4 linked regions of the Astyanax mexicanus genome follow. The protein of the gene in region 1 interacts with the protein of each later gene in a biochemical or structural test. Links are inferred from orthologs where the notes say so. Each region holds a gene or a part of one and is shown on either strand. Other genes may lie near its edges. The genes, in order: rb1, cdk4, myod1 and ccnb1.

Region 1 (8,179 bases):
AATAATATTGCTGAATATTTAGTGCATGCATATAAACTGCAAACTAAAACAATTATACAATTAATACACCTAAAGCTTCACAGTAAATAATAGACTACTTTTAAGACAGAACAGCCCTATTATCACGATATGGATTTTTAATATCATGATATTTCTGTGTCACGATATATTGTATACGATATAATATTGCCCACCCCTACGCTTAAAACCAATCCTGTATATAATAAGAGTTACAGTTATAAAGACATGTGCAAACTACACAGTTTTCTTACATAGCAATCACAAAGTCAAAGCATTTCAATCTTTTCTAATTTATAGCAGAAATAAAATTGATACTGACAAGTTTTAATGTCAATACTTTACCTCAGACCAACAGCTTTCAGTAGTTGTGTAAACGTGAAGCTGATCTCTTCCAGGTCTACAGCAGAAATAAAGACACACACTCCCCACAGTGGCCTGTTTGAATTCTGCAACAAACAGACAGTAAGTTACACACAGAAATTGCACTAGAGACAGGAATTGTAGAAACCGAATAATAATAATAATAAAAAAAAAACCTACATTAATTTTCTCTGCCGATATGGCAGCAGACGTCCAGATGGCCCACGCTCTGTTACACACCGTGTTGGTCACAAAAAGCTCCTTGCAAAGGGTCACGAAGTCAGAATCCTTCTCTGTGTGCCTGGCAGAGAGAAAAGGTAAATAAAATTAGTGTGTGAAGATTTTCTCAAATATTTTTTTTTTAAATAGGGGTGTTCCATATTGCATCGCTCATGAGAATATTTTTTAATTTATGAAGCAATAAAAAAATAATAATAGTAATACAGTGATAAATTAATAGCGACATTCTCTTTGACAGCAGTATATTTTGTGTACTTGTATTCTATTTACTGAACCTTTGGCCCAGTCTTCCAGGATATCTCTGTACTTAGCTGCATTCATCTTTCCTTTCCTGTCCCTGAAGCTAAAAAAAAAAAAAAAAAAAAAAATACCACAAAAGCATGATGCTGCCACCACCATGTTTCACTGTTGGGATGGTATTGGGCAGGTAATGAGCAGTGCATGTTCAATCCTTATCTCAACAGACCAGAGAATCTTATTTCTTATAGCCTGGGAGTCCTTTATGTGTTTTTGGTAAACTCTATGTGGGCTTTTATATGTCTTGCACTGGCTGTCTGTCTATCTTAATGAATGTCTCTTGTCTGTCTAGCTATCTGAATAGCAGTATTAAGACTATTTGAGTTAAATCAGTAAAACAGTCTGTCTGTGTACCTGTCTATATCTATATATTAGAAAGGCAGCAGTGAGACTGTTTCAAGTTACATCAGCAAAACAGTGTCTGTCTATCGAAATGCCTATTGAGACTGTTCGTGTTACATCAGTAACAGTGTGTCTGTCTGTCTGTCTGTCTGTCTGTCTGGCATCAGACTGTTTGAGTTAAGTTAAATTAGTAAAACAGTCTGTATCTCTATATATTAAACAGGCAGCATTTAGATTATTTTAGTTAAATCAGCAAAACACTCCGTCTGTCTGTCTTTCTATCTATCTATATGTTATCGCTGTGACTGTTCGAGTTAATCAGTAAAACAGTCTCCCACTATCTATATATTAGATTATAATGGTAGAATTAAGATTGTATGAGTTAAATCAGTAAAAAAAAGTATATGTACCTGTCTGTCTATCTTTATGTATATATTAGAATAGCAGCATTAAAATAGTTTGAGTTAAATCAGTGCAACAGTCTGTCTGTCTGTCTGATTATCTATCTGAATGGCAGCACTATTAGACTATTAGAGTTAAATCACTGCAACAGTGTATTTGTCCCACAATCTATTTGTCTGTGTGTCTTTCTGATTATATATCTATCTGAATGGCATCGCTATAATTGCTCAAGTTAAATCAGTAAAACAGTCCGTCTAATCTATCTGAATGTCTTTTTATCAGTCTATATCGATCTTTTTCTATGTGAATGGAATCACAGACACTGAGTTAAATGAGTAACACAGCCTGTCTATCTATTTGTCTATCTGTCTATATATACATATATATAATGGCAACATTGAGACTGTTTGAGTTAAATCAGTGTAACAGTGTCTGTCTGATTATCTATCTGAATGGCAGCATTGGGACTATTAGAATTAAATAAGTGATACAGTCAACCTGTCTAAAAAATCTGTCTTTCTGACTATCTATCTATATGACAGCATTAAGACTGATCCTACTAAATCAGTAAAACAGTCTGTCTGACTGAATAACAGCATTAAGGATATTTGAGTTAAATCAGTAAAACTGTCTGACTGAATAATAATATTAAGGATATTGGACTTAAATCAGTAATATTGTCTGACCGAATAACAACATTAAGGATATTGGAGTTAAATCAGTAAAACTGTCTGACTGAGTAACAACATTAAGGATATTTGAATTAAATCAGTAAAACTGTCTGACTGAGTAACAACATTAAAAATATTTGAGTTAAATCATTAAAACAGTGACTGAATAACAACATTAAGGATATTTGAGTTAAATCAGTAAAACTGTTTGACTGAATAACATCATTAAGGATATTTGAGTTAAATCAGTAAAACTGTCTGACTGAATAACAGCATTAAGGATATTTGAGTTAAATCAGTAAAACTGTTTGAATAACAGCGTTAATGATATTTGAGTTAAAGCAGTAAAACTGTTTGACTGAATAACAGCATTAAGGATATTTGAGTTAAATCAGTCTGATTAAATATCTATCTGAATGACAGCATTGAGGATATTCGAGTTAAATCAATGAAATGTGGAGTTAGAGTAAAGTTGATGTATTTAGTGGAGTATATCAGGATGTTATTGAAGGGAAGAAGGGGTTGTGTTGGGAAAATACGTGAGAATAACTTGTTGTGACGAGACTGTTGACAAAACAAAAGTTAGCTAGCAGGCTAACTAGCTCAGTTAGCTAACTCTGTAGCTAGTTAACTTGTGTAACTTACTGTAGGTTAGCTAGCAGACCGAGCTAACTCATAAACTATCTAACTACCCAAACTAATGATTAAACACAAGATATAAACAGAAGAGCGGACAGAGCGGCCGCGGAGAAACACGGAGCCGGATCAGCAGCGCGGGGTTCTTACTGTTGCGGGCTGATGGCGGAGCCGGACTGCCGGAGCTCCGGGGAAGAGGCGCCCCTCCGGCTGCTCCCGGTCCCGGAGCTGCGCTTTCTGGGCGGCATGGCTGATTAAATCCTTCGCGGGTCTTCAGACAGAGCGGGTTAGAGTGAATGGAGGTGTGGATCAGCTGTATGAGAGCTGGATCTTACTGATAACTGAATATACAGGTAATAAAAAACTGCAGGCAGGGAGTAAACCGGGTGAACAGGGGCCTCCCCGAAACCGCCTCCACTATCCAGCGCTGATCCCACAGCCTCAAACCGCGGGAAAACTCCGCAGCTCAACTTCCTGCTACACTCACGTCATTTCCGGAAACAAGAAAGCGTCAGAGACGGATTTTGGTACCTGAAACATTATTTTAAGTAAAATATCATACATACTTACTGCAAATTATAAATATTATATTTATAAATAATATTTATTGAAGAATATTAAAGTAAAATGTCATAAAAAGCCTTACAATTGTTCATATATGCAATATCACCACTTGTTTTCTATTTTTTTAATTAATTTTTTTAGCATGACACTTCTGTTTTTCCCCGCGGCACTGCTGTAACTGCTGTACTGTAAATTTCCCCCAACTGTGGGATTAATAAAGACTTATCCTAATTGTTAAATAAAATAATACTAATACTAATGTCTATTAAAATGGTTAATATTATTGGTCACTATGATTGGGAGATCGCTGGTTCAAATCCGTTCATGCAGTTTGCCATCAGCTGCTGGAGTCCTGAGAGAGCACAATTTTGCTTGCTCTCTCTGGGTGGGTGGATAGCACTCTTTTCTCTCATCACTCTAAAGGGTGATGTTGATCAGCACAAGGCATAATTGAGCTGTCGAGTGCACTGTGATGCTACTCCATAAAAAAGAGGCGGAGTCTGACTTCACATGTATCGGAGAAGGCATGTGTTAGTCTTCACCCTCCAGGTGTTGGGTCATCACTAGTGTTAGGGGGAGTCCTAATGAGTGGGTTGGGTAATTGGCTGTGTATATTGGGGAGAAATGGGCTTAAAAAATATTATTATTGGTATTTTTTTCTAGAGATGCATCAATGTGGGAGTTCTAGGCCGATATAACACATGTATATGTCTGCTGATGCCGATATACACAATAAACATAACTTACAGCGAGCCTAGACACCCCAGTATACGTATTTCACATGTTTTTAGTGGTTTAAACTGGTCCTTACATAGACTGTTTGCAACTTTAAACCCTGTTTTTCTTCATAACCATTACATCAAAACCATCCTAAACATCCAACATCTCAACCCGAATTTTCCCACACACACAGCGAGATTGGGCAGATTATTCCCTCTCTTTCTCTGTATTTATTTCTACATACAATACAAAATAGCTATAGTTTGTCCTTTTTTTCTCTCCACCCTTTTTATTTTTCCTGTTATTTTTATATTATACACTATGACCACAGAAACTATAATTATCTATAAACACTAACAAAGCTTAATTAGTCCTCCATGGGCGGTGATTAAAATTAACTTGTGCCCGGCGTCTCCAAGTCCTTTTCTGGCGTACAATAAATATGTCGGCAAATATTGGGTTTGAAATATCTAGACATTCCCTAAGGGGTGGAATTAGATAGTTAAGACCCCAATCCATCCTCTCCTGTTTCACTTCCTCTGGTCCAGAGGTGTCCTCATTCAACCTACATAAAATCATATCTTTGCATTATTGTAATTGTACAATCGATCTGTGCACAGGCATGCGTTCAGGCTTTTATTTTAAAATGCACTAGCTTTCTTATATGAGTAATAACATGAGACTATTTATATCTTTACATTTGCTTTACACATTTCTTGTTTAATTAAGGATTACATTAAAATATTGATTAGGGAGCCTAAATGTTTGTGCATAAAACAACAGCAAAAACACACAAAGTTGACCTGTGAAAGGTGCAAACATTAGGTAAAGGGGTTTATTACTGGTTGTATTTTCTCATTCAAATGAACATATTGAACAAACTCTGGAGTTACCAGTAATGGACACTCTGTAGTGTGATCTTCGGATAAATCGTAGACTTGTCCACAGGGACAGCATTATAAACACAAGAGGCATCAGTATGTCCTAATATTTAGAGGTATTTAAAAGTAAAACCCATATGATAACCCCAAAAATGTTAGATCTCCCAGCAAAACTCAGATAAATATATAAACTTTGGAGGTTTTAAAATGTATGAGAACATTTATTTTCTGTCTATTTTCTGTCCCTCATCATTGTGTTATGTTTTTGTTCACCTTATTAACTAAAATAAAACCATACATCTTGACTTCCCTTTGCCTTTAGCTGTAACCATAGATATTGATTTGCCAACACTTCCTGGCGCCCTGAACCCAGTGTTCTCTCTCTCTCTCCTCTGAGAAGAGATACTTATTAATATGCAGACCATCATTTCAGTTCAATCTGAGGATCTGATTTTGTTTATTTAAGAAGCAGTTTGCCCAGCTCTGCGTGTTTGTGCGTATTCAGTACAGAAATATAGGTCTGAAAATATTGCCATATTAAAAAAAAAAAAAAACATTTGTAAGAAATAAGAACACAGAACAAAGGCACTAACGTGCTTTGTCTGGAGTGACAGATGTAATAAATAAACGCAGAGTTCAGCGTTCAGATAGGGTTGCCATATAGACCAGAGATGAAACCACTACATGTATGTACAACTCAGGAAGCATGAAACAACATTTCAGAATTGTAAAAAGGTCTTAGTAACCATAGGAAAACCTTTAACCAGATAGAGACATACAGGTGATAGGTTCCTTTGGCACCGGAGCGTTTCAATATCAGTTCATTTTGTCACTTTGTCTCCAAATGTACCAGTTAAGTGAGGCTTAGAGAGACCACAGCATGGGGTAAAAGCCTGGTGAAGAAAACAGCTGAATTTAGACTGTTTTCAACCCCTAGAAGGAAGAGGAATCACAACTTGTGGTGCTTTTAAAAGCTCCCTGGCAGAAAACAAAAAACATTTCCTCATTCAACATTTCCATCTACTGTCGACTCTACAAATTGACCTAGACAGTAAAGCACTACTCTGGACCTGTCGTGTTAAAGCTGTGGAATTACAGTACCCACGGGAAGTGAAAGATAAGTGTGAAACCAAGAGGGGGAGAAAAGAGCCAGTTATAATTCTGTCTGCATAACATCTGAAAGAGACCTCCTCCTTTAAGCTATCTGAAAGTCCTGGTATATGGTCAGCTGAGGGGCAGGGCCAGCCCCCCGCTCAAAGCAGCATATTCATGGGTTTCTCCAGGAACTTGCGGAACTCGGCCAGCCACTGAGCCCCTACTGCTCCGTCCACCACCCGGTGATCACAGCTAAGAGTAACGGACATCACATTGGATACATCAAACCTACAAAGAACAAAAAAAGAACACAGGCAAAAATGAGACCAATGCATGTAAAACCATGTTTGAAGAAAAAAAAAACATTTTATTTGCATTCTAAAAACCCTATCACACTTCTACTGAGTGGTAAAACTCTTGCATCTGGACTCCAAATAAAAAAACAGCAGGAGCAGTGACTTTTTAAGCTTTCTCGGTTACATGACATCGCGTTCAGTAGCTCCTCCATTTCCACATGCTGTTGTGTTTACGTGGATCTCTGTGGAAACGCATGCCCAAAGTGTAATTACGGTGCATGGCAGTGGACAAATAGCTATTTTATTAAATGCGAGGAGACGAAAATCAGAGATGTGAATCCGGATGGGACTAAAATGACCAGACCACGGAGTTCAGCGAAAAACAGAGGACGTCTGAGAAAAACACATACATGGTTGTTCTGGATGGGAATAAAATCACAAAGGACCCCCTGTAAAAGAGAAAATTACCCCAGAGTGAGATCTGTCACTACTGTCCGTGACAAGTCAGCAGATGAGCGAGATGTAATTACTTTCTATTAATACGTTTTGTGTTTTATCACAGTTTTGCAGTTCAGCACAAGCGAACACTAATGTGTGGTAAACACTCAGCGTATACATGCAGTGGCCAATAACAGTTTATTTGCATAAAAGTGTCAGAACCCTTAAACAGCTCATTCTAAAAAGGACTGAACCTGGTAAGAATAGAGATGGTGAAATCTTCATCTTTATGTGAGAGCAATTTTGTGTAAAAACCTTACAAGCATGTTTTGAACAAACCATAGACCAATTTTAACTATATAACTATGTATAAAAAGAGGTATAATATGTCTTCTGAAATTTAGATTTATAATTTTATTTATGAATAATCACAGAACATTTTTGCGATTCATATAGCTAATGTTTTAAGCAATTGACACCACTAATTAAATATTCTGCATTTATTATTTTAAGCAGAAGGACACGTGTGATATATGACTATTGTTATTTATCCAGAATAGAGTTATGATTAATTTCATTAATTTATAGGCGTGCGATTAATCTGGACACTTTTTTACACAAGTTTAGTGCCAGTTACCTCCAGTCACATTTTCACAGAGCCTGGGGACATATTAATATCAGCAGGCACATACTTTTGTTTGATGATAAAGGTTTTTAAATAAACTGTTAATCCATACATTAAAATATTCTAATTTAAAATAAATCTATAATAAAGTTAAAAAGTCTAGTCTATTATCCAGTTACACCACAATACACTATAATTTATTCTCCCTCCAAAAAACACAGAGCAGTACCAGCATTTAAATGATTTTACTAAGCAATTGACACTATTAAAACAAATATAATTATTATTTTATTTACATTTAAATATCCATTATTTAACGCTTATGTCTTAAGATGCCTGAAGAATGATGCTGTGATTAATCTGATTTATTTATTTAATCAATTGACATCATTAAAATACATACCAAAACCACTAAAAAATACAATGGGCAATACTGAGGTCAGAAAAAGTTACTGATTTTGTGTCCAGTAAAATAATAGACAATTTAATGAACCAGTTCACAGAACACCATGTGACCGACAGCAGTGAAGCTCTCACCCTCTCTCATTGTCTGCAGGCAGCAGCCTCTTCTCAGAGCCTCCCACTGCCAAG
Region 2 (8,420 bases), on another chromosome or scaffold:
AACAAACCTCGGTTCTGTTGTTATTCTGCGCAGTGGCTCGAGCGCCCCTGTCCGAGATACCGATTTTTTTTTAAGTGACGTGACACCCACGTGCTCTAAGCCCCTCCCCTCCCCACACATCCTCACCCCCACCAGCCTGGTACTAGTGAGTCACACAGCTTAGCTTAGCAGCTAGGCTAACTCTGACTATATTACATGATAAAAGTGTTGTTGGATGTTTCTCCAAACCAAACAACATGAAGAACAGACTCGTGTTAATTTTCTTTTTCATGTAAGAACACACCGGCAAAGACACAAAAATACAAGAACACAAGAACAAACAACAGCTGCAACTGTTATATTTATATTATATAAAATTATTGTACAGTACTATAAAGACAAGGGGTGGGCAATTAATTTAACTAAATGGCAGCTTGACACTGGGACTATTTTTAGGGCTGGGTCAACTGATTGATCTCAATTTGCCTCAATGTTAATAATCCAGTAATTATATGGATTTCATTAAATGTTATTGGTAAGATATTACTCTTAGTAAAAACATAAATTACATAATTATTTAATCACCATTTACATAAACAACTATGAATAAAATGTCCATGTTTTTCATAAAAAAACAACAACATTAAACTCAAAGCATTATTCCTCTATTTGATTTGTAGCCTAATTTCTTTTTCAGTACTTTTTCTTGTTATGTAAAAGAAATGTATTCAACAAGTGCAGTGAAGTAGGTTCTGTTTCTAAGGTGGATATGTGAATGGCCAGATGTGGCCCCAGGGCCATAAAATCCTTTTTCACTTTAGCCACAATAGCTAAACCCAGATAGCAAAATTACATTAAATAATTCCCTTATTTCTCCATCTCAAATGTTGATCTCCAACATCAGGGTTGATTTATTTATGCACATCAATTTTCATTTGATTTAACATTGATTCAACATTGAGCGTAGTGATGAAAAAGGTGTTTAAATAAAAATCATATTTTTTTATAATAATAATAATAATTTATAAATAAGGTGTCTTTTTGAATTGAAGAATTTTGAAGATGCTTTGCACTAAGACTTTGAAATATTTGTCTACTTATAATACTTATAATATAATACTTAACTACTAATTGAAAACAAAATCATGGACTCTGTAAAAATAAAACAAAAGACTCTGTATCTAATGTTTAACAAATTGTTTTGACAAATAAGGTCCTAAAGTTAATAAATCCTAAAATAAATATATTATGGCCTCGATAAAAAATAACAAAACCTTTAGTCGATTTATTATTATTATTATTATTATTATTATTATTATTATTATTATTATTATTATTATTATTATTATTATTATTTCTGATGTGTTTATTTATTTATTTACTGTAAGGAATATAGGCTGTTCTTAAAGCACTGCTGTATATCAGCCTAGCAACAGCACGCCTCATCCAATCACAGCGCGCCTTCCGCAGTGGGGCGCGTTTTGATTGGCTCCCTGCTGCCACGAAGCGACAGCCCTCTCAACGCACGGATGATGAATCCTCGCGCCGCTTAGATTCAACCAGACCACTGAATTAAAACAAATATTAAATTTAGAGATAGTGGAATATATAATTTAATTAAACTCAGCACACAGAGTAATGTATGTGATCAGAAAGTCGAAAAGCACATATAATAAGGGTTTAAACTGATGGATAGATTTACTCAACATTAAAATAAATTATAATAAAAATATATAGTAATATATGTGTGTTTGTGTGTGTGTGTGTGTGTGTGTTACATTGTACACATTGTACATCAACATACAATCCAATATTAACAGTAAAACACATAGTGATAATAAAAGGTCTATAAGAGTGGTATGGGAGATTTTCAAGGCAACAAACACTGCTGACCTAAAAGTATTTTATTTGCCAAAAACATCTTTATGATCTCCAGGACTTTGGAAGAATATTCTGTTGACTGATGAGAGAAAAGTGGAACTTTTTGGAAGGCGTGAGTCTTGTTACATCTGACAAAAAATGCACTATTCCGGAAAAGAACAAGAACACCATATTTAAAGTCATACACTGTGGTTGTTGCTGCCAAGGGTGGCACAACCAAGTTATCAGGTTTAGGAAGCAAATATATAAATATATATGTACGCATATATACAGCTATGAAGAAAATCAAGAGTCCTCTTTAGTTTATGAATCAGTTTATCTGATTTTGCTATTTATATGCATATATTTGATTAACATGAACATTGTTGTTTTATTCTATAAACTACAGACAACATTTCTCCCAAATTCCAAATGAAAAATATTGTCATTTAGAGCAATTAATTGCAGAAAATTAGAGATGGCTGAAAAAAAAACAAAAAAGATGCAGAGCTTTTAGACCTCAAATAATGCAAAGAAAACAAGTTCATATTCATAAAGTTTTAAGAGTTCAGAAATCAATATTTGACAGAATAACCCTGTTTTTTAATCACAATTTTAATGCGTGTGTGTGTGTGTGTGTGTGTAAACAGTCACTTTTCGTCTGGAATAAATAAATCTCTATGTATCTCTATCAATCTTTTTTTAAATAATGTTTATATAAATCGCTCTCTCTCTCTCTGAGCTGAGACTAATACAGTCAGTGTCTCTTCATCAGATGAGCTGATTTTTTTTATGTCTCGATCTGACAATAAAAATGTCACCTCTGATTCTGCTGTTGTCCAGATACACGTGCATTCTAATCACAGAAAGTATAATTACCACTGAAGCAGCTGACTGGTGCTTGGCCACGGTTTGTGTGACTTTATGGAAATGGACTGCGCCCTGCATCTATTATTAAGGCCAATGCAACAGCCAACCAGCACCATAACAATGGGTCACAGCAACCAGATGAAAATTTATTAGTAACAACCAAGCAACACCTTAAAAACAATTAAAAATGTCCTGACAACCGCTTATCAACACACTGACAGCTGCATAAAACATCATAGCAGATCATAACTGCTATAACAATACTTCAAGCTGCATAGTAACTCTGAGGCAACCATCATGAAACCATCCTAGAAACTACTTAACAAATGCTAAACAACAGCTGGAGTAGCAACCAAAAAATACACCTTTGTAACCTCAAAGCAATATCCTAGGACCCATGTATACAGGAACTAAAATATTATATTCTACTAACAATTTAGCAAGAATGAAACAACTGCCTAAAAACACCATAGCAACAATCAAAAAATGCCATAGCAATCACATAGCAACTACCTGTTTTAAATTAACCAGCAATGTTGATGTCAATCGAAATTTCTGCTTATAAATTAAGATTATGTTTTGACTCACAGTGATGCTACTTAATTGTTTAACTCAACTTCAACCTGTATTACATACTGCATACAAAAGAAAACTTCTTTAACTTTCTTTTTGTATGTTTCTTGTTTTTTTTTGTTTTTTTTTTTTTGTCTTAAGAATGATTGTAAACAATCCATAGTCCTAACAAGCTAATTAAGGTCTTGGTAAAAGTTATCTGAAAGCTTTTTTTTTGCATTTATTTTTTATTGAAATTTTTACTACATTATTTTTCATTTTAAACTTTATTCCTTTTGAAAATCATCTTATATTCACTTGCAACATTCCCCTGTAACAGAACAAGGATGAGCAGGGGTGCCCAGACCTTTGAACGCCCCTCTTTTTGTTTGCTGTTAAAATTTTTAATTGTTTAATATATTTTGTTTAATTATTCATGATTATTTTTAATATCATTACAAATGAAAGATTATTACCAAAGAAGAAATGCTAAGAGAGCACACTCCTCTATTTCTTTGCTTTTAACCCTAAAGGAACTGATGCATCACTACAGGACTGTGTGTAAATGTGTGATCATGTGACATTATTTACAGAGGTGTGCTGGGTTACTGCTGGAGATAGTTCATTTTAAAGGTGTATGTTTTGCTATTGTATTCATCCATTTTAACAATTAATGTTTGAAACCCTATAAGACTAATTCTGAGAATTTCTAGAACAAAATGTTAAAATCCAAAAAGTTATGTCATTGCTTCATTTACATTAAATAATATATTTACAGGCAAGTGCCCATAATAAAAAAAACATTAATGAGTTGCTCACTTCTTCTTCTTCTTTTCGTTTCTTGAAGCTTGTTGGTTATATGATTGTTTCCCATTTCTTTACACAGTCTTTTGCGTTTTTATTGAATATGGCAAGATCTTTTAAGCTGCACTGATTGTGTAGTAGGGGCAAACAAGGCAGTGCTGCATTGTGTGGTCCTCTCCACATTCACAGGTGGTTTGGCCAACTTTGTAGTTGCTCACTGAATATATTTGATTACATTTTGAATTGGGCATCAGTATTTAGAAATTAGTCTGGGCCCTTATTGTTTTTTTTTGTAATATCTAAATTTAATATCTAATTAGATTTAGACCTAACCTAACATTCCAATAACTCAGTAATGTTAGGTTGCCTATCATTTGGATATGTATACACACTTACAACTACAGCATTACACTTTGCCATAAGTTTATATAAAACACAAGCCATTTCTGATGTTAAAAGTACATAATTGTGCAAAGATTAGCATAATAATTATAGTAGTAGTAGTAGTTGTTGTTGTAGTAGTATATTTTACAGTGATGCACTATATAATCACAAACCAAAATTATTTATCAAGAAAATTTTTTTGGCTAAAAAAATTTCTGAATTATGTTCAACAGCACTATACATAACTGCTATAATTTCTTTTTTATGTACTCACCTGTTACTAATTTTGCATTGTAATAATGATAATTAAAGAAAACAGCACTTTTGGTGTTTGGCCAACTAAGTGAAAAGATTTATGATGAACACTGATATTTTCTTTGCAACAAAAAACAAACAAACAAACAAACAAACGAACAAAAAAGTTTTATTATTTAAACCAAAACCCCTTAACTTCTATCACCTGCCTGAAATCGAAGTGGGCGTGGCTAGCGCCTCGGCCCAGCAGTGGGTGTATGTGGGTGGGCTGACCCCGCCCATTCAACCAGCGCTCCGCCCCTTTTACTTGCTTTATTCCACATTTAGGCTCCGCCCCCATGACAGGACCGGAAGCATCTCATTTTCACAATGAGTTCAAAGTGAGAAGGGGAGAAAAGTTCGAGAAAGCTGAAAAAGCGTAAAAATATTTGCGTTTTAATCGTTAACGCTAAAAATACCGAAGCGCGCACGCTTAACCGGGTTGGATGGAGCGCGCGGGGCGCGAGGACGCGCAGATGTGATGATTTGGGGTGGTTATTGGGTAATATTGGGGTGATTTGTGGTCAGTCTGGCTGGAGACAGCGTGCTAGTTTGCTTCGCAAACAATACGATGGTAAGAGCCTGAACTGTTTATTAATTCGATGTGTGATTCGGTTTGTTTGTAATTTTAGGAGATATTGTTGTTTTTTAACCAAATGTGTGTCTTGCAATTACGCAGCGTCCTTGGGAGTCTTTTAAAGTGTGTGAGCATGTGCTTGGTGATCAGATTAATTGATTAGTTTGATTATTGATTGGTGATCAGCTTTGGTAAGATCCCATTCTTACTAATTAACAAAGAGCCCTCCGAAGGCCACCACGTGTTGAGGAAGGAGCTGGTTAAGGCCAGTCAGTGCACCAATGGAAACACTAGGCCTTTCCATATCTTTTAAACAGAAATAATCATGAAAATATATGTGATATAAACTCATCTGTGTGTTACCTGAATATTTATTAAATGATAAAACGTGTTTCTTATTAATATACAACTTTAAAGAGCTAAAATAGCGCACAAAGCTACTCTTAACTTCGGACTGTCTGTTCCACCTTAAATGTGCAGCAGTTACATTCAAGCGCCATCGGGGCGTCTGATGTGCAGTGACGGCAACTGCTGTACGTTTAAGGTGGAACGGAGAATATAAGGCAAGAGCCAGTTATGTTTAATCAAGTTAGCAAAGTGATTTTAAGTCTTCTAAAAATCCTGTTCTTTGTACGTCATTATATAATCACCGCATAACAGCAAAATACAACTATGCCAGTGTTTTCTAAACAGTACAGAGCTTATATTTAATCAATAGACGAAAACAATGGAGAAAAACTGGTTAAATAAGTTAAAAACTTTAAAAAGAAAAACTGTAGTATAAGTTGGTAAAACATTTAAGAATTAACAGCTTAAATTTATAAGTTTTTTTTTAAATGTGTAAAAAAATAAATAAAATAAGCTAAAACTAGCTATAGATTAAAATAAGTAAAGCAAATAAGCAAAATAAGTAAAACAGTACTAAGTAGTAAAAGTAATGTAAAATAAAATGGTTACAGGCAGAGTAAAGGTAGTGTGTGCAAATGATCTACAATTACAAAATATACCCCACCACAGTCAATGTGTTTGTTTGTTGGGAAACAACATTAAATGTGATAAACAAACTGTGTTAATCTGTAAAAAGTGATTATGGGGAAGGTGTGTTTTTGTTTGTGTGTTTGTGGTGAACCTCAGGAATGTTAGGTTGCCTGTCACTTTGGAAATGTACACACACTTAGCATTTATTAAGCATTTCAGTATTACACTTGGCCTAAAGGTGTTTACATGCAACACAAGCCATTTCTGCTGTTATAAGTACATAATTATGCATAGTTTTGCATAATAATTATGGAATAAGTAGTATTATATTTTGCAGTGATGCACTATATACTCTCAAACCACTAAATTATTTGGCAACCAAATTTTTGTGGCCAGAAAGTGTCAAAGATGTTCAACAGCACAATGCATATCTGCTATAATTTCTTTTTGTACTCACTTGTGTCTAATTTTGCATAGTAATAAAAGTGATTATTGTTTTTAGGCATTCGCCGAAATTGTTTGGATGTAATTAACAAAAACAGCACTTTGGTTGTTTGGCCAAATAAGTGAAAAGACCAAAGAATTGATGTTAAATAGTTGTATTTTCTTTGCAAAAAAACAGGTTATTAGGACAAATAATTTAGAAGTGAAACAAAATATCGAAAATACCAATAACTACATATATTGTCATTTTAGTTTGCAATACATTATCATTAACCAGTGTCAAACATTGTTTTTATTAAAACGTCTCACAATTTGACTTAATGAAGTTACTTCTTCAGTACTCCACCTGATGGTCCTAATCAATATATTATATTATATTGTGAGATCCCATATGATTTGCTATTCAGCTTTCAGTCAAAGGTTTTAATTTTGGTTTAGGCCAAAAAATGTCATTTTGCATCCTTCATATCTTTTTATTTGTCAGTCTTACTGGTGTTTATAATGACCAAGAGAAATGTTCCAAATATCTGTTTCCATTATCTTTCCTTTTCTGTAGGCTTGAAGTCTATATTCAGAAGATATTATATTAAGTATTCAATGGATGAATTCAGGTTTACATAAATTGATTGATTTCTTATTAGCTCTTTAATCTCCTCATTCTGCAGGCTATGACCCAGGAGGGCGGGGTCCAGTATGAACCGGTGGCGGAGATCGGCGGTGGTGCATATGGGACTGTGTATAAGGCTCGGGATACACAGAGTGGTCAGTTTGTGGCCCTGAAGAGTGTCCGTGTTCAGACTGACCAGGAGGGCCTCCCGCTGTCAACAGTTCGAGAAGTGGCCCTGCTGAAGAGACTGGAGCAGTTCGACCATCCAAATATTGTCAAGTATGTACTGTCTGATCCCATTTCGGATCAGAATGCTGCACTATGTAACTCTGCCTAACCTGAGTCATGTTGATGTAAAATCCTTTATTATTCCTCTACCACATCAGTCCACTGCTTCTACATCTCACAGCTTGTCCAGAAATGCACGTGTACAGCTGTCCACTATAGTGCAAACAGAGCCAGATTTATATTTACTGCAGTGATTATAATACTCACTTATATTTGCTTTATTTACTTAACGGTCACTGCTTACATCCTGTGCGTTCTTTGTTGAGCAACACATACTGTAAACTAGAGGAAACTTTAGAGTTAACAGATTTTGAGAACAACAGACATGGCGACGGTGAATGAGACAATTATAAAAAAAAAGGCAGCAGTCTAGGCAGCCATAAACAAGCGCACAAGATAAATGTGTATCAGTACGAACAGAGGTCTTAGTTTAACTATTGTGTGGAATTACTCTCCACACCTGTAGGGGGAACCCAGGAGCAAAAAGTACCAGCTCTCAGCTTCAGCTCGTGTAGGAAACCTTGATATTAAATTTCATCTTACACTAAAATCCGCCTTCTTATTTTTTATGAAATACAATAGGTCTCTCTGAATTGTATATGGATGCTGCGCATGAAACTCTTCCTTAATCTCCACTGTCTGCAGTAGCTAGTAAAAGAAAATGTTCAGAAAAACGAGTCGATCAGAAAAAAAGAACCTGTGTCTACGTCAACCTGTAAATTAATATTCATGGCCACCACCCACAGGCAGAGTTGAAGCCACGCAGATGCGCCTCGTCAGACA
Region 3 (8,258 bases), on another chromosome or scaffold:
ATGGTACTCAAATATGGTTTTCAGATACAAATACAGATAGCAAAAAATAATTAAATATAATTCACTTTATAATTTCACTTTATATATTATAACTGGAGATTGGCGTTCTCACGTTTTTAAATGAATGTTAAAATTTCACAGTGCGGCAAAAAATTCAGCCGCTCAAAAACCTAAAGACTGTGTGTGTGTTTTGTGCTACATTCACACAAGGTGGTGCTGCAACTATTTCCGCAGGACTGGCAGCTTAGATTTTACATAGATAATAATAATAATAATAATAATAATAATAATAATAATAATAATAATAATAATAATAATAATAATAATAATAATAATAATAATAATAATTATTATTATTATTATTAGTATTATCTCTTAATGGAAATGTAATTTTAAAGTTAAGTGATTAAAAAAGACATATGTAACAGGACTAAACACTCAATCGAAACATTATTTTTGTTATTTTTTAACAACGAAATATACTTAATTTTACACAATAGCACTGCATTATACTAATTTATATTTAATAATATTTATATTTATACAGTAACAAGCAGAAATTCAACTGTGACTAATTTAACCTGACTGCATGTTCATTAACTTAATTTGTTAAATAAAAAGAAGACTTATTTGAAAAATAATTTAGTAAATCTGTGGGATCATACTGCTGCGTTTAGTAGTTCGTTTAGAAATGAACTAATTTGTCATTAGGTTATGCATATACGCATAGTTATGCGTTGTTTATATAATTATTTATGACACGCTGGGTATAACAATCGGCAATACAAAACATTTTTTTTAAATGGCAAATATTTTATGTTAGTCAAACTATTCGAACGTTTTGGAGTTAATTTAAATATAAGAAAAAAAGATATATGAAGACGAACAAATAAACTGACTAAGTTAAAGCGACATTTAGTTGTGCTTATAAAAATAAAATACAATTTAAATTAATATTTAAAGTAAATGCTCTTTGAAATATATATGTTATGATTAAATTGTTAAAAACAGATGAGAGCCTTTAAAAAAAAGATCAGACGAGAGCAGGTGTGTGTATAAATAAGTATTTCTTTATTAATCCACATTCACTCACTGAAGAAGTATAAATATAAACGTCGGACACAACAAACTCCTCACACAGGCAGCATTAAATACAAAGTTTGATCACTTCTCCTTTTAACAAAACAGCTCTTATATACACATATACAAAACTGGTCCTCTACTTCTCATAGATGAAGTGTTTTCTCACATGAACAATCAGGAAATCGTAAAAGATGAAGGAGACAGAAAGAAGAGGTTCAACAAGGGAAGATATGGTCACAATATTGCAGCTGACAATCATATAAATAAAAGGTTTTAAGAAACTGACTTCGGCAGAGCCATCGATACCATGGAATTTTATATTTTCTACAGAAAAAAGATAGAATAAAAAGATACAAAATAGTAAAGGACAAGAAAAAGAAAGAAAGAAAGAAAGAAAGAAAGAAAAAGTCCGAACAACAAGAAATAAATACAAATACAATAATGAAGAAAGAATGTATAAAAGTACAAAGAAAGAGTGAAGAGAATGAAAGAAAAACCTAAATGAATATCATCTGAAAAAAGATCGGACTAAAAACAGAAGGACAATAAATAAAAAGAAAAGTGTGGAAATACAGGAAAGAACGAAGAAAGAAAAGTTTGGAAGGAAGAAATAAAGGAAAAAGAAACCAGGAAAATAAAGGAAAGAAAAAATAAAATAAAAATAAAGATCCAGGAAAGACTAAATGAATTAAAATGAAGATAGTGTGAGAAAAGAGAACGAAAGAAAGGATAAAGGTAAAAATTTATGTTCTCCCACTTCTGTTCTCCCGCACAGGAACAGCACAGTCCTGAAGGCTCCTGTACACCGCGCGCGCGTGTGTGTATGTATGTATGAGTGTGTGCATGTCTGTGTGTGTGTTCTACAGGACTTGGTACACGGCGTTCCCGGGGGAGGGAGTGCTCGGTACCGTCTCGCTGAGCGCGGGCGCATCGTGCGGAGAACGCGGGCTGCTGGTGCTGCTGCAGTCCGACGGCTCGTGCGTCGCGAGCGGCTGACATGCGGGCGCTTCCGTGGAAATTCGCTCCACGATGCTGGAGAGACAGTCCAGACTGGACACTACTGTGGATTTACTGCTCCGCACATCTACTGGAGAAATGAGAAAGAATCAGATGTTATTTTTTGTAGTTGTTGATTCACTTGAATATATTATTATAAAATGTCTCGTGACGTTTCATGCTTGATTATTTATTTGGGGTGGTATCTTACCGTTTTGACTCTCGTTGAAGTAGGAACTGTCATAGCTGTTTCTTCTTCTAGATGGACATGATAGGCCGTTGAAATCCATCTGAAAGAAAATATAAATACATCAATTAAATGGAATCAACAAAACAAAATATTTTAGAGTTATAGGCAATATAGTCTAAATAATATTATTATTGTAATATAAAGTAACAAAAGAGTAACTAAAAAAGAGTTGACACTAGAGTCTGGTTTAGTTGATCAAAGTGACAGCTCCTGACAGTAAAAGTCTTTAGAGATCTCAGATTCCTCACCATGCCGTCGGAGCAGTTGGACCTGGGGCTGGACGCGTCCGAGTCCCCGCTGTACTGATCCAGGACCGGGTAGTAGGAGTCCTCCTGGCTGCGCAGCAGAGCTTGCAGGGACTCGATGTAGCTGATGGCGTTTCTCAGGATCTCCACCTTTGGCAGCCTCTGGTTGGGGTTGGCCGACGTGCATCGCTTCAGCGTCTCGAAGGCGTCGTTCACTTTGCTCAGGCGCCTCCTCTCCCGCATGGTGGCGGCCTTCCGCCGGTCCGCGTTCGTCGTCTTCCTCTTGCAAGCCTTGCACGCCCACAGGAGACACCTGCCCGCCTGGTGGTGGCCACTGGGCGCGCGCACGTGCTCGTCCTCCGCGTGGCCGTGCTCGTCCGGTTTGAGCAGACTCACGTGCACGAGCCGTGGGTCAAGGTCCTCGAAGAAATGCATGTCGTTGGTGTTGAAGCACGGGTCGTCGTAGAAGTCGTCCGCGGACGGGATGGGGAACGGGATATCCGACAGCTCCATCTCTCTTTTTTCTGACCCCCCAAAAAACCAAAGTGATGAAACTTTTTTTAAGTGTGTAAAATAAGGTAGGAGTTGAGCCAACACTCCAGAGAGCCTCCAATGCGCTCAGACACTTTCTGTCAGGTTTCTGTCCTGTTTAAACACACACTCTTAATGTCTGCAGTGAGTGAAAGACAAGAGAGAGGGAATGAGTGAGTGTTGCAGGTAGGGCTCCACCAACTCCTGTCCCAGTGCAGCCTGCAGCTACTTGTTGCTGAGGAGGCGAAAAGGCCAGTTTATATGGGCCGGCAGCTGGGTGGGGAGTGGCCTTGGCCTGAACCGCAGGCCAATAAACGCCCTGGCCGAGGCGATGGGGGGCTGGAAGGGGTCGTTTGTGCCGGACGAACACTAAAGACAACAATAAAGGTTAGAGTGAAAAATTTGTCAGATTTGAAAAACTCAGAATTTAAGAATTGGAAGACTGAAAAATAATGCTGAGAATCTTAAAACATACCTGGAGATTGAAATTTAGTCTATGGTTTACTTGAATTAATATGAATAAGAAAAGAAATTAAACTTTTTCATAATATTTTTTACATAGCAAATCCTGTAAGCAACCAAAATATGCTGTGTGTGTTTCTTAGTAAGTCTGACTTCTAAGAAACACATAATGTAAGCGCATGGAAGCGCACAATATATGCAGTGAAATGGTCTATATTTATATGTAGTACATAAGTTAATATATACTAAAATGTTTTAAACTGAGTTGGCTTTAATATATCATTCTAATACTGAAACTCCACCACCCATTTAATTCTGTTTTTATTTTCTAATTCCGGAACACACACTTCCAAACAACCCCTGAGACTCTGAAGCAGCAAATCCTTTAGTATTACATTACATTCGATACATTACACAGCTACAAAAAGTGGGCACGTAAAGCAAGGTTAAATATTTTGACTGTAGTGTCTGCTATAAGTACAGATCATCTACACTACTGGAATATCTATTCTATCTTAGCTTTCTTTCTTTTTTTCTCTGATTAATATTTGCTGAGAAGTCTAATTAGTACAGACAAAGTTATTTTAGTCAGACCTCTAAGAAAAGAATACATGAATAAATCAAAAAATTCTGACAGGGGAAATTCATTTTAGGAGTTCATTCGGTTCATAGGCTACTTATAACATGTACTAGCCTACTGTATTTAGTTTGTCTCAGAAATAGAAGCCAACAGTGCCATGGGTCCACCAACAGATGGCAGTAATGAGCCAGTGAGCCACCGGGAGAGAGGCCTGGGTTATAATCCCATTTACAAGTGACAAAATCACAGCTTTCACAGCTCCTTTTTAACAAGGAATAATCTTAACAGAGTTATCTCTCTGGTGTTTAAGAAACTGTTGCCCCACTATTAAATCATACTTGAGACTTTAATTTAACAGTTTCAATAGATTTTATTGGTTTATGGCTTAAATCCTACATAAAACACACACATGAACACAAAGAAAAGTAACAGTGCAAAGAAGGAAACTCTTGTCTTCCACACATACAAACACAATACAAACACGCAGAACCCATCACAAAACACGCTTTAAAAGCAACAGAAATGATTAAAAATACTTCTAAAAAAATAGGTGGAGTGTGAGATTAAAAATCTAAACCTCCAATACACAATCCAGACCAAAACATTTAATCAGTGTCAGTCAAAAAATATAACAATGAATCAAATTCTGTCTATAAAATACTGCATAATTTTTTTTCATATAGGGCACTTCTTAATGTAAAACAGCAAGTTTTGTTCCACTCTACAGGCTTTTTGTTTTTACAAAAACACATTCATAGTCACTAAAAAACATATCAAACTTGTCAAAATTTCTCTTAGTCATTCATTTTTAATAATCTCTCCCGTGTTTTTAGCACTTCTTTTGACAATATGGGAAATTCACATTATTTTCCACTTGCTCAGTACTTTTCAGCTGTGGGGAAAGGTAATACCAAGCTTCAAGAACACGCCATTCAAGAAACCCACAAATCATCTCTTTCATGCCACAAACAGAACACACTCCATGCAGGCTGAGCACGGGATCTAACAGTGCAGAAAGTATTGATAGGAAATAACTGCTAGTCAGGCCATTAATGCATCAACAAGGGGCTTTACAGGACATTTAGGCACTGGCCAGCTCCTCATAGAGCTGGTCAATGAGGTACTCTCCATATCCTCCAGCACCATCACTGGTGCAGCCCAGTCTTCGAGCATTGGTCAAGAGGTCACCTAGCAGCTTGATCTTTGGTGCGAGAGGCTGGAGGAAGTGGCTCTTGAGGACACTGGCAGAGTGGGGGTCTCCATGTTCACGTGCTAGCTGAGACAGCTCCACCATGATGGCCATCTCCTCCTTCCACTGGCCCAGCAGGAGTTCCAGGGCAGGGAGCAGCGCACACACCTGCTCTGTCCCTGGTCTCTGCATAGCACACACACACACACACACACACACACACACACACACACACACACACACACACACACACACACACACACACACACACACACAAACTGCTCAGATGTGTAGTTCTACTAATTTTAAAACTAACAGCGAATGTATAGACAAGCAATACTGTATCGCTTAAAAAAACAGTATTGATTTTTAATCACTGGTTTCTATGTAAAGATTGGAGACAGTCAGTGGTTCATGTTGTGTTTAAACCCTATCCACAATCTCTGATTTTAGATCCCACTGTCTTGATTGCATTCAAATATAAAACTTTTCTTTATCTCAGACTTTATAAATGATAGTGTTTTTATACTATTTGTACCATTTTTACTATCAATTTAAATCTATTGCATGTACTTATTAAAAATATCTGTATGGCTAAAATAATAATATATATTTTTTTATATGCATACAATTTCACAATCAAGCAACTCAACCAGCTCCATTTAAACTCACTCACGCCTTCGTCTCTCCATGCATCAGCGGATAACAAGGTGTTCCAAATTGCTGCTGATGGACCCTCACCAGCCTCACTCCGGATCAATTTTACATGAGTCATAAAACTAGGGAAGAGGAGGAGGTTGGAAAAAAAGAGAGGACCCAGGCTGAAGTGGCAGCAGAGCCAGTGCCATAGTGTACATCTGGAACTACAATTAATGCACTGTCCTTCCGCTTTCACATTAATCTCCCCAATTTTCCGGAACTCAGGGAAAACGTATACCCTGACAGGCATTAGAGAAGAGATCCCTGCAAAGCCCACAGGGGTTTATCCTCCTCTCTCTCTCTGACCCCTTTTCCTCCTAAACTGCTGGCCTATCCAGTCAAGAGCCCCTCCAAAAAATATTTTTAAAGGTACAGAGGTAATATGATGAGGATACAATGTTGGCAGTAACTGTGGGCAGTAAAATAATCCTGCAGATCTGTGAAAACTTTTGTTTCCTAACAGTGAGACCGAAAAAGTGATAAAAAGTGAAGAATCAAAACCTGAAAAGGGGCATTCTACTATTATTTTATAAAGAAGACAAGAAACATCTTTATTCACCATATTTCACAGTAACACTACAGCACATGATATGCTGGGCATAGACAGCAAGGTTTACCTGGATATCTTTGCTGCAGTATTGTCCTCCACGCTCGGACAGGTAGTGTAGCATGGCTTCCGCCTGCTCCTGCTCTCTTGTGGACTCCAGATAGAAATATGCAGCCACACGTGGCAAAGCCAGGTCATCTTGCTCAAAAATCTTGGCCTGAAATATACAATACCCACAATTTATTCCGTTCAATTCTGAACAGAGGACAGTACCATAACATCTTACTGTCACTACCTCTAAAGTGGCATTTTTATAGGAAAGAAAGAAATAAAAACCTAATTTTTATTATTTGTATTCATTTTTGTAGACCATTTTGAAGCATTTCTGAAAGCCATTTGACTTAACATGCCTTCATTAATTCATTATGAAATGTTGAATGTCTGTGCCACTGCAACGAAAACATCTGCTCCAGCTTCCTTAGTTGAGCTTAATATTCGCTTACATTTTATACAACTAATATTTAATGTGGCACATAATGAACACAGGAGTGATTTTTTTAAACTAGCACTACGATTACTTTGTAATTTGGTATTGTAGATACTTAATTTTGATTATCAAGAATAATCAAGGTTATTCAATGTATGGTATAGTTTAGAGCTTAGGGCCCCTGTAGGCCAAACAAGGAAGTGCTCATAACACTGGCAGTAGAAACAATATTAGGATGAAAACTCAATAAATTATAACTGATGCAAAACTCATTAAAATACAGACTGTGTAATATTTAAGTAGGTGACTTTGCAGAAGCGAGGAAGTCGTCCTTGTCTTTTCTTTGTCCGCTGTTCTGGTATATCTAGCTCAGTTAAACAGGCTGGTAGGAGACCATTTAATGAATTCACTTAGTTTCAAAGCTTCAGTCATTCCAAATGACTGGCCCAGTATTTATACTTTCATTTATGTATTTTAAAATATTTATTTTCTTTTTTATAGTGAGATCATCTGATTTATTATTATGCTACTGGGATATATAATATTAAAAGAAATTGTTTTCCAAAACAAATCCCTTATTCTAGCTTAATTTTTTTTTTTTTTTTTTTTTTTTTTACGTATTTTTCGATGAAATGAAATTTAAATGTTAAACCCTGTCTAAAATTAAATGATTGCTGTGGAAAGGGGTTATCATGTACAATGTTGCTGGGCCTTCTCACACTTCAAAGGGAAATGAACAAACCTAGAACTAAATGCACCTCTACATGATGTAAATGTTGATTAATGCTCTGTACCATAATGTAAAACGGCCTAATAGTATGTAATCTTCTGTTTTTTCTCATAGTTGCAAATCCACATACTCTATTTTATACTGCTTCTTATCTAGTATTTATTTCATATCCTGATTTAATCTTCTGCATGCTAATGATTATTTTTCTGTTAAATATTGTTCAGCAGTGTGTACCTTGTCTGTTTTTTTTGGTCACATGTCTAATCTTTATCCTGCCATTGTTAAGCTAGCGTATTGACCTCCTTTTTATTACTTCAAATCAGCCTTTCTTAGTCAGTGCCAGGAGTTATTAAACTCTGAGAGGGTAAACATGTGCAGTTGGACTGGATGTGGCAATTTTGCACTTTTACATTTGCTTGTGTACATGTAAGGAAATGTACCTATCTCTTATAGGTGCAG
Region 4 (8,084 bases), on another chromosome or scaffold:
ATTTTAAGTCGTTCCACAATTATACAATTCCTTGGTCAGTTATAAACAAATCAAAGCCACATGCACAAATCTACCAATTATGGATGAGAGACAAATAATGGACACGTGTATCTGTCAGTTACACACGACGAGCTGCAGACAGTGAGTTTCTACACTAAAATTACCATACCAGTGAGTTCATGGACCAAAGAGGGTTAAAGAATTGTCACTTGTTATTAATCTTCTTTACCAATCCAACGGTTATTCGCACTCACCCATTATTTGTTACAAACTTTTAAAAAATTATGGAATTGATTAAAGAACCATTTATAGTGCTCTTATTTGAAAGAGTGTTGTGTATTTGAATTGTCTGATGCAAAGTTACAGGTGCATTTAAAAAGAAAGTGAATATCCTACATTATATTGGTCTTATATAATATTCAAATTTTATGAAACACTGATTTTTGGGATTTCATTGGCTGTAAGCCATAATCATCAACAATAAAAAAAATAAATAAATGCATGAAATAGATCACTCTGTGTGAAATACATCTATATAATATATGAGTTTCACATTTAAACTGATTTACTGAAATAAAGTAATTTTTCAATGATTTTAGTTATTTTTTGAGATGCATCTTTACTTGCCATTAGAGGTCAATTCTTAGACAGGGATTAAGCCAAGTCTTCAACTACACAGCATTTTGAATGAAGAATTAATTGAAAGTAGGCTTAAACACTGTCTGAGAAGCTGCCACTAAATGTGATAATATAATTTCACTCTAATAGAATATGAACTTTGCAAGGATTATAAATCTGAAAAATTATATTCATTTATTTTTATATTCTGTTCCCGAACAGCCTGTGTCTGTGGGTGGACTGCTTGTGAATTTAGTGGGCATCTGTGCCTTCAGCCATGCCCACTCCCATGGGGCTTCTAAGAGCAGCTGCTCAGGCCATGAGCATGGTCACTCGCATCACGGACATGGGCACGGAGAACACGGCCATGGAAGCCACGGACACAGCCATGGGGGCCACGGCCATTCTCACAGCCATGGTCATTCCCATGGCTCTGGAGGAAGTGGCATGAATGCTAATATGAGAGGTAGCTGCACTTTTATGTTTAAGCAATACTGTCTATTCTATTCTTGTGTTTTCTCTCTCTTTTTTTTTTTTTTTTAACTCATTACCGTGTTTTTAGTGCAGAAGAAAATACACTGTGTTTACAAAAAAAGTGACACCAATTAATATTTTCTGAAATGAATAAGGAGGTTTAAACATACCATATTTTACAGACTATAAGGCACACTATATTATAAGGCACACTATCAATGAACGTCTGTTTTCTGGTCTATTTTCAGCAGGTCTTGCTGCTAAGGGGGACTAACTAAACAAAACTGTTAATCTCTAAAATAATTTTATTAATAATTTTAATTTTTAAATTTTAAAATATTTTTTTTTTAAGTCAAACGAGCGCTGGATGTTAATCTGCACAGATTTCTCTCTTGAAAACTGTTTATTTGGGTAAATTTGAGTAAAGTGCTTCTGTTCCCTTACAGTAAGCTCAGATTTCCAGTATTTTAGCTCGGTTAGCACTAGTAAATGCCACCCTATAACACTTCACTGCGGAACACTGAGCGTCCCAGTAAGCCAGGGTGCTACCAGCTATAGGGATCAGGGCAAATCTGGTAAACACACAGGCTACAATCCGATATACTCACTTCTGAACTGCATAAGAGCTAGCGCTTAGCGCAGTTAGCAGCTAATGCTAATACTGCTCCAGCCTCGGTGCTGGGGACACTTCATTTAATCTCCTTAATAACGCTGTACTTCAGCGGCGTGGTTTTATTGCTCCTTACAACCTGATTGGTAGAATTCATACATAAGGCGCACCGGATTATAAGGTGCACTAATGCTTTTTGGGAAAATTAAAGGAATTTAAGTGTGCCTAATATTTAAGCTTTAAACACCAATTGAAAAGATTATAACAGAAGAATTAACCATAAAATGAACATTACCTCCTTATTTCTACACTCTTTGTTAATTTCATCTGCTTCACTGTCTGCAAGGAGTACTTTGTAGTTCTTTAAATACAGACTGTAGTACTCATACTTTGTAGTTTCTCATACATTATTATCATTTTTTCACCCTGATATGCAAAAATTCTAAAATGTTAATGTTATGCAGTACATATATTTTGGATATACACTATGTCTAAATGTTTGTGAACATTTACTTGCTGTAAGTTCCACCAATTGCTGGCAGAAAGAAACCAATGCACACATTCAACTTGTCTGGTAGTGCCAATAAAATAGGACCTAGAAATGAAACCTGTGTCTACTTTACTTCTATTCCTATTCTATTATATTCTTGACTGTTATGAGCACTGACTCTGAGTGTGAATGGTTTCAGGTGTCTTTCTGCACGTCCTGGCCGATACATTGGGCAGTGTTGGGGTCATCATATCTACAGTGCTCATCAGTCAGTTTGGCTGGCTGATAGCAGACCCCATATGTTCCCTGTTCATCGCCACACTCATCTTTCTGAGCGTCATTCCCCTGTTAAAGGATGCCTGTGAAGTCCTCCTGCTCAGGATTCCACCTGAGAATGAGAAGGACCTCAACTTTGCTCTGGAAAAGGTATAAATTTAGGTGTTTTTGCAGAAAATTTGAGAAAGTGTGTAGCTTTTTAGAATATGGTTATATACAGTGACAGGCGCCATACAACAGTATCAGTACTGTGAAAAGATCTTAAGACCTTAAAGCTGATTAATGCTTCTGGGTTGAATGTATCTGGAATTTAGACCAATTTATGCTTCTGCTACTGTAGCATACACAAAGATTCCTATCCTACACTGAAACCTGACACCACTCTAACCAGAAATGTAACTTCTTTTCATGGTAACACAAACCACAGCTTTTTTTTTTGTATGTTTTTAAGCAATTAAAAAATCTGCCCAGATAAAGAGCTTTTACATTCCAGGGTCTGAGGTGCGTGAAACGTTTGCACAGTACTGCAGAATGTAGTAAAAACAGCCGTTTCTTTCCAACTTAGATCCAGAAAATAGAAGGTGTTTTGTCGTACCGTGACCCACACTTCTGGAGGCATTCCGCCAGTGTTCTGGGTGGAACTATTCATCTGCAGATCATGTCCGATGTGGTGGAACAGAGAATAATTCAGCAGGTTTGAAAGGAGTTCTCATTCATTCTTATTTTTCAAATGAACGTCAGCTATCTGATGTATTTGTTACATGAATTAACTGTTGTGGTTTTGTTTCTATCAGGTAACCTCGGTACTAAAGGATGCGGGTGTGAATAATCTGACGGTGCAGGTGGAGAAGGAGGCCTATTTTCAGCACATGTCTGGCCTCAGCACAGGATTCCACGAAGTTCTGGCAATGACACAACAGATGGAGTCCATGAAATACTACAAAGATGGCACATGTATCATGTAAACAGTTGTATATGTAAATGATTTTTTTTCTTTAATTAAAACAATTTTACTTGTGGTTTTATTTCTGTGTGACTATTATAAAAGGTAAATTGATTAAAGCAAATGCAAATGCAAAAAAAAAAAAGCAAAAGGTGAAGACACCAGCTCATCCGTGTTTGGTGTTCGTCCCATTTTTGTAGCGGTAATTGTGTTTAATCTTCTGAAATGGCATAACTCCTCGAGTTAGAACAGTGTTAAATGGATTTTAAAGCTTCCAGACTAAAAACAAAAAAGCAAGATCAGGTACTGATGGTGGGTGGCTGGATAGTGTCTGACCATTTATGTGGTATTTGTTTAGATATTGAACAAAATATTTCTAGAGTGTTTGTTGTTAATATGTGATAGAATGATCGATTTCGTATGAATGATCATTTATCTAATATACTGTAGTATTAGTCAATATAAATATATATTAGGACAAATCATATTTAATTTATATAAATTTCCAAGATTGTTTTTTTCTTGTTTTTTTTTTTTTTTTACTTTATAAAAATATATATCATTTTAAAAATAATCAAATTATTAATATATATATATATATATATATATATATATATATATATATATATATATATATATATATACATATACATGCAGACTACTTAACAATTATGAGTTTTTTACCAAATTAAAAACCACTGGAATATAAACTCGAGGAAGACGGATGATAACAAGGTATTAAACCAAGCTAGAATTTAGATTTTTTGCACTAGGAGTGGCACCAGGAGTTATCCAAAAGCAGTGTGTAATACAGGTGGAGGAGGACATGCCAAGATGCATGAAAGCTGTGATTAAAAACCAGGGTTATTCCACCAAATATTGAACTCTTTATGAATATCAACTTGTTTTCTTTGCATTATTTGACGTCTAAACAAGCTCTGCATCGTTTTGGTTATTTCAGCCATTTCTCATCATCAAATGCTCTAAATTAAAATATTTTTATTTGGTATTTTGGAGAAACGTTGACCGTAGTTTATAGAATAAAACAACACTGTTCGTTTAACTCAAACATAAACCTATAAATAGCAATCCATTCATTTGTACAGTACATGTCCTCCGGAGCAGTAGGTGGCGGTACAGGGCTGTATAAAAAAACCCGAAGGAGAGATTTAACCACTGAGTCCCCTCCCTTTGATGGGTCACGTGCTCATCAGTCGCCTTAGAAACGCATTGTTATCAGCTGTGTCTCGGCCAATCAGATTGCGCGAGTTTTAGAACGCAGCGAATCAGGTTCGAAAGAGCGACAATTTAAACCTGAGGGAGATGCTGGTTTGGTACGTGCTGTTTCAGCGCTGACCTGTTCACTCTACAGACCCACAAACTGAGATACAGCAGCTCAGACATGGCTCTCCGCGTCACAAGAGTAAGTTTACACCTTTTAAAAGCCTTTTCTTCTTTTAAATACGGCTGTTTTTACGTGCTTAAACTGTATGTTGACTTATATTTAACTAATGTTAAGTCTAGTTTAGTTAAATGCTCATGTTTATAGTCTTACTTGGCGATTTTAACTACTTGAGCAGTTTAATCTGCTTAGTGAATGTTATATTAAGTAAGCTTAACTTAATATAACATGTTTTTTCTATATTTAACCTTTTAAAACAGAGTACTCGCCTGGCCAGCAGCGAGAACCAGAATGCTGTTGCTGGAAAAGCAGTAGTTGCAAGCAAGCCTTCACTAAGGCCCAGAAATGCTCTTGGAGAGATTGGAAATGCAGTGCTGCCCCGACAGACCCTGAAGAAAAAGGTATCTAGCTTTTATATAAGAAAATCCTCCCTTATTTTAACTACAGAATTTTGTTGTGAAATGTGCTCTGTCTAACTTGAATGAACTTGTTTTCTGAAGCAGGATGTGAAGCCTGCTGCTCCTGCAGTGGTTGAGAAGGTGGTTGAGCCTGTTAAGCAGCCAAAGAAAGAAGTTCCTGCAGTTCAAAATGAGGTTCAGGTGGGGTTTTTGATTTGCATGAATGTCTGAGTAACATGTCTTGACTGGGTTATCTGTTTGCTAATAATATTAAAACTAGCTACTACGTGGTATAGCTTATCTGCAGTTCGGGTGGAGAAGCCATTTTCTTGCCCTACTTTATTACATGGGGTGGGGAGGAGGCAGGGGACCATTAGGGCTGTACAATAATTCAATAGAATTCAATGGTTTTTGTTTCTTTAATAGATGCAGTATTTTGCTTTATACTATCTTCAGTGTTACTGGCAGACTTATTTTGCCTTACATGAATTGCATTTTTTATTTTGTTTAAATTGTTTGTAGTGGGGCTGTGCTATGTATCATTGAATAATATTACTACATTTTTACTGTTATTGCAAATATTGTGATTATTTTAGCAACATATCTGCTGTTTTTAGCAAAAGTAAACACTTCTACTTAAATCAACTAGCGACAGACCTGAGTGCATTATTAGTCTGAAATGTTAGATTATTGAGTTGAGCTTGTAAAAATTAAACCAAATTACCCAATCAAATGTCATTTTGTAGCAGTAGTGTCTTAAAATGTTAACCTCCATGTTTTCTTGCCAAGAACATCACTATTTGCAAGAAAACCCTGACTTTTTGTTACTATTTTAAAGCCCTATGGCCCACGCCTTGTAGGTACTGAGGATGACTGGGTTGGGTTTTATATGCCCTTTATTCTAACTACAACTGCTACCACTAGCAAACTTGAAATATGTAGTGTTGCTAGAAGCTCTTAATTTAAATATTAATTGTCAAATTTGGCTGCAGCTTTGTGTTTCAGTAAAGCAAAATCGAACCAATCCTGGTTGTTTATAGCTTAGCTTCTCAGTTTCTCAGCAAAAAGGTTAGATTAGCTTGGTTGGAGTGGAAACTTGCAGCTTAGCACTTAGTCTCTTTGGGTAAGATCAAGGAACTTATAAAGGCTTATGGAGTGTTTAACATGTATCAAATGTGTTAAACATGTTTAGATAAAATGGATCATGCCTTTGGAGATGCCCTATTTTTTAGTGTTCAATTCACCAGCAGACCTGATGCAGTGCTTTTTAGCTCATTTAGCAAACAATTATTTAGTTCCAATGGGTGTTAAAGCAGAAACTATAAATTATGCAGGTTTTTTTTTTTTTTTTTTTTTTTTTTTTTTTTTTTTAAATCATCTGCAGGATTTGAAACATGCTTATGATCAAGTTACCATTGCTCTCAATGTGGCTGTGTTTTTTTTTTTAGTTGGTTTGCCTCTTTTCATTTCAGCTTTTGTCTGAGCCTTCCTCCCCTGTGCCTATGGAAACCTCTGGCTGTGCACCTGAGGATCTGTGCCAGGCTTTCTCTGATGTGCTGCTCAATATCAAAGATGTGGATGCTGATGACTACGACAATCCCATGCTCTGCAGTGAATATGTGAAGGACATCTACAAATACCTCCGGCAACTTGAGGTTGGTGTATAACCTCCCTTGTGCCCTCCTGTCCAATTATCTTGACTAGCTACAGCTTTTGGTAACATCCTGCCTCTGCTTGTGTCCCTAGGCTGATCAGGCTGTCAGGCCAAGGTATCTGGAAGGAAGGGAAGTCACTGGGAACATGCGTGCCATCCTTATTGACTGGCTTGTCCAGGTCCAAATCAAGTTTAGGCTGCTGCAGGAGACCATGTACATGACTGTGGCAATCATTGACCGCTTTCTTCAGGTGTGTAACATTTAGCTTCCTTGTGGTCTGTAAAGTCAAGTTTAAACCTAGTTGGATTGTTCGTTGACCTAAATGGATTTTGTAATCTAATATTTGGCTCTTTCAGGATCATCCAGTTCCCAAGAAGAGACTCCAGCTGGTTGGTGTCACTGCCATGTTCATTGCTTCCAAGTATGAGGAAATGTACCCACCAGAGATTGCAGACTTTGCCTTTGTGACCGACCGTGCCTACACTACTGCTGAAATCCGGGACATGGAGATGACCATCCTGAGGGTTCTGAAGTTTAGCTTTGGTAGACCTCTGCCCCTTCAGTTCCTGAGGAGGGCTTCAAAAATTGGAGAGGTACTTAATGGTTACTAATGCCTTCAGAAGCCTCTTAATTTAGTCTTGTTTTGGGTTTAAGACTAAATCAAATCTTTCTTGCAGGTTACTGCAGAGCACCACACCTTGGCTAAATACTTTGTAGAACTCACCATGGTGGACTACGACATGGTGCACTTTGCTCCCTCGCAAGTTGCCAGTGCTGCTTTTGCCCTCATGCTTAAGGTCTTTAACTGTGGTGAATGGGTAAGTCTGATTTACTTATGGTCCTCACTCCTGAATTAAGTTTCACAAGATCATTCTTTAAAATCTTTCTTTGGTTTTTGACAGACCCCAACTCTGCAGTTTTACATGGGCTATGCTGAGGACAGCCTGATTCCAGTGATGCAGCATATTGCCAAAAATGTGGTAAAGGTCAATGAAGGGCTCTCAAAACATCTGGTAAGTTTCATGTATGTAATTTGTACAAAAATGCTTGTAGATTACTTTAGTTTGCTGTGAACTTTTCTAAACCTTTTGGTCTGTTTTTAGGCTGTTAAGAACAAATACTCCAGTCAGAAGCAGATGAGGATTGCCTCCATCTCACAGCTCAAGTCATCACTGGTCAAGGACCTTGCAAAGCAAGCTTCCTAGTGGGATTTTTGAA

The links.
Region 2: of the proteins of rb1 (region 1) and cdk4, one has a biochemical effect on the other in vitro, tested with the Homo sapiens proteins (40 studies listed by BioGRID, with this or other methods). The link is inferred for Astyanax mexicanus from reciprocal best matches to the Homo sapiens genes RB1 and CDK4.
Region 3: the proteins of rb1 (region 1) and myod1 form a complex in vitro, tested with the Homo sapiens proteins (2 studies listed by BioGRID). The link is inferred for Astyanax mexicanus from reciprocal best matches to the Homo sapiens genes RB1 and MYOD1.
Region 4: of the proteins of rb1 (region 1) and ccnb1, one has a biochemical effect on the other in vitro, tested with the Homo sapiens proteins (2 studies listed by BioGRID). The link is inferred for Astyanax mexicanus from reciprocal best matches to the Homo sapiens genes RB1 and CCNB1.

Annotation. Positions count from the first base shown.
Region 1 is NC_064424.1:7,182,651-7,190,829, forward strand, and holds the start of rb1 (retinoblastoma-associated protein), read right to left. Parts: upstream 3,439-8,179; 5' UTR 3,218-3,438; coding exon 3,120-3,217; intron 683-3,119; coding exon 562-682; intron 468-561; coding exon 364-467; intron 1-363. Other genes in the region: dlat (dihydrolipoyllysine-residue acetyltransferase component of pyruvate dehydrogenase complex, mitochondrial), read right to left, coding at 6,388-6,517, 8,126-8,179. UniProt on the Homo sapiens protein: Tumor suppressor that is a key regulator of the G1/S transition of the cell cycle. The hypophosphorylated form binds transcription regulators of the E2F family, preventing transcription of E2F-responsive genes.
Region 2 is NC_064431.1:16,097,772-16,106,191, reverse strand, and holds the start of cdk4 (cyclin-dependent kinase 4), read left to right. Parts: upstream 1-5,047; 5' UTR 5,048-5,314; coding exon 5,315-5,317; intron 5,318-7,407; coding exon 7,408-7,628; intron 7,629-8,420.
Region 3 is NC_064409.1:62,751,476-62,759,733, forward strand, and holds myod1 (myoblast determination protein 1 homolog), read right to left. Parts: upstream 3,351-8,258; 5' UTR 3,088-3,350; coding exon 2,578-3,087; intron 2,370-2,577; coding exon 2,291-2,369; intron 2,171-2,290; coding exon 1,944-2,170; 3' UTR 1,049-1,943; downstream 1-1,048. Other genes in the region: zgc:172145 (ferritin light chain, oocyte isoform-like), read right to left, coding at 5,229-5,522, 6,653-6,799. UniProt on the Homo sapiens protein: Acts as a transcriptional activator that promotes transcription of muscle-specific target genes and plays a role in muscle differentiation. Together with MYF5 and MYOG, co-occupies muscle-specific gene promoter core region during myogenesis.
Region 4 is NC_064408.1:19,581,421-19,589,504, forward strand, and holds the start of ccnb1 (G2/mitotic-specific cyclin-B1), read left to right. Parts: upstream 1-4,675; 5' UTR 4,676-4,813; coding exon 4,814-4,834; intron 4,835-5,073; coding exon 5,074-5,214; intron 5,215-5,313; coding exon 5,314-5,412; intron 5,413-6,683; coding exon 6,684-6,866; intron 6,867-6,957; coding exon 6,958-7,116; intron 7,117-7,222; coding exon 7,223-7,459; intron 7,460-7,543; coding exon 7,544-7,684; intron 7,685-7,768; coding exon 7,769-7,879; intron 7,880-7,969; coding exon 7,970-8,071; 3' UTR 8,072-8,084. Other genes in the region: slc30a5 (zinc transporter 5), read left to right, coding at 841-1,084, 2,392-2,618, 3,034-3,162, 3,263-3,433. UniProt on the Homo sapiens protein: Essential for the control of the cell cycle at the G2/M (mitosis) transition.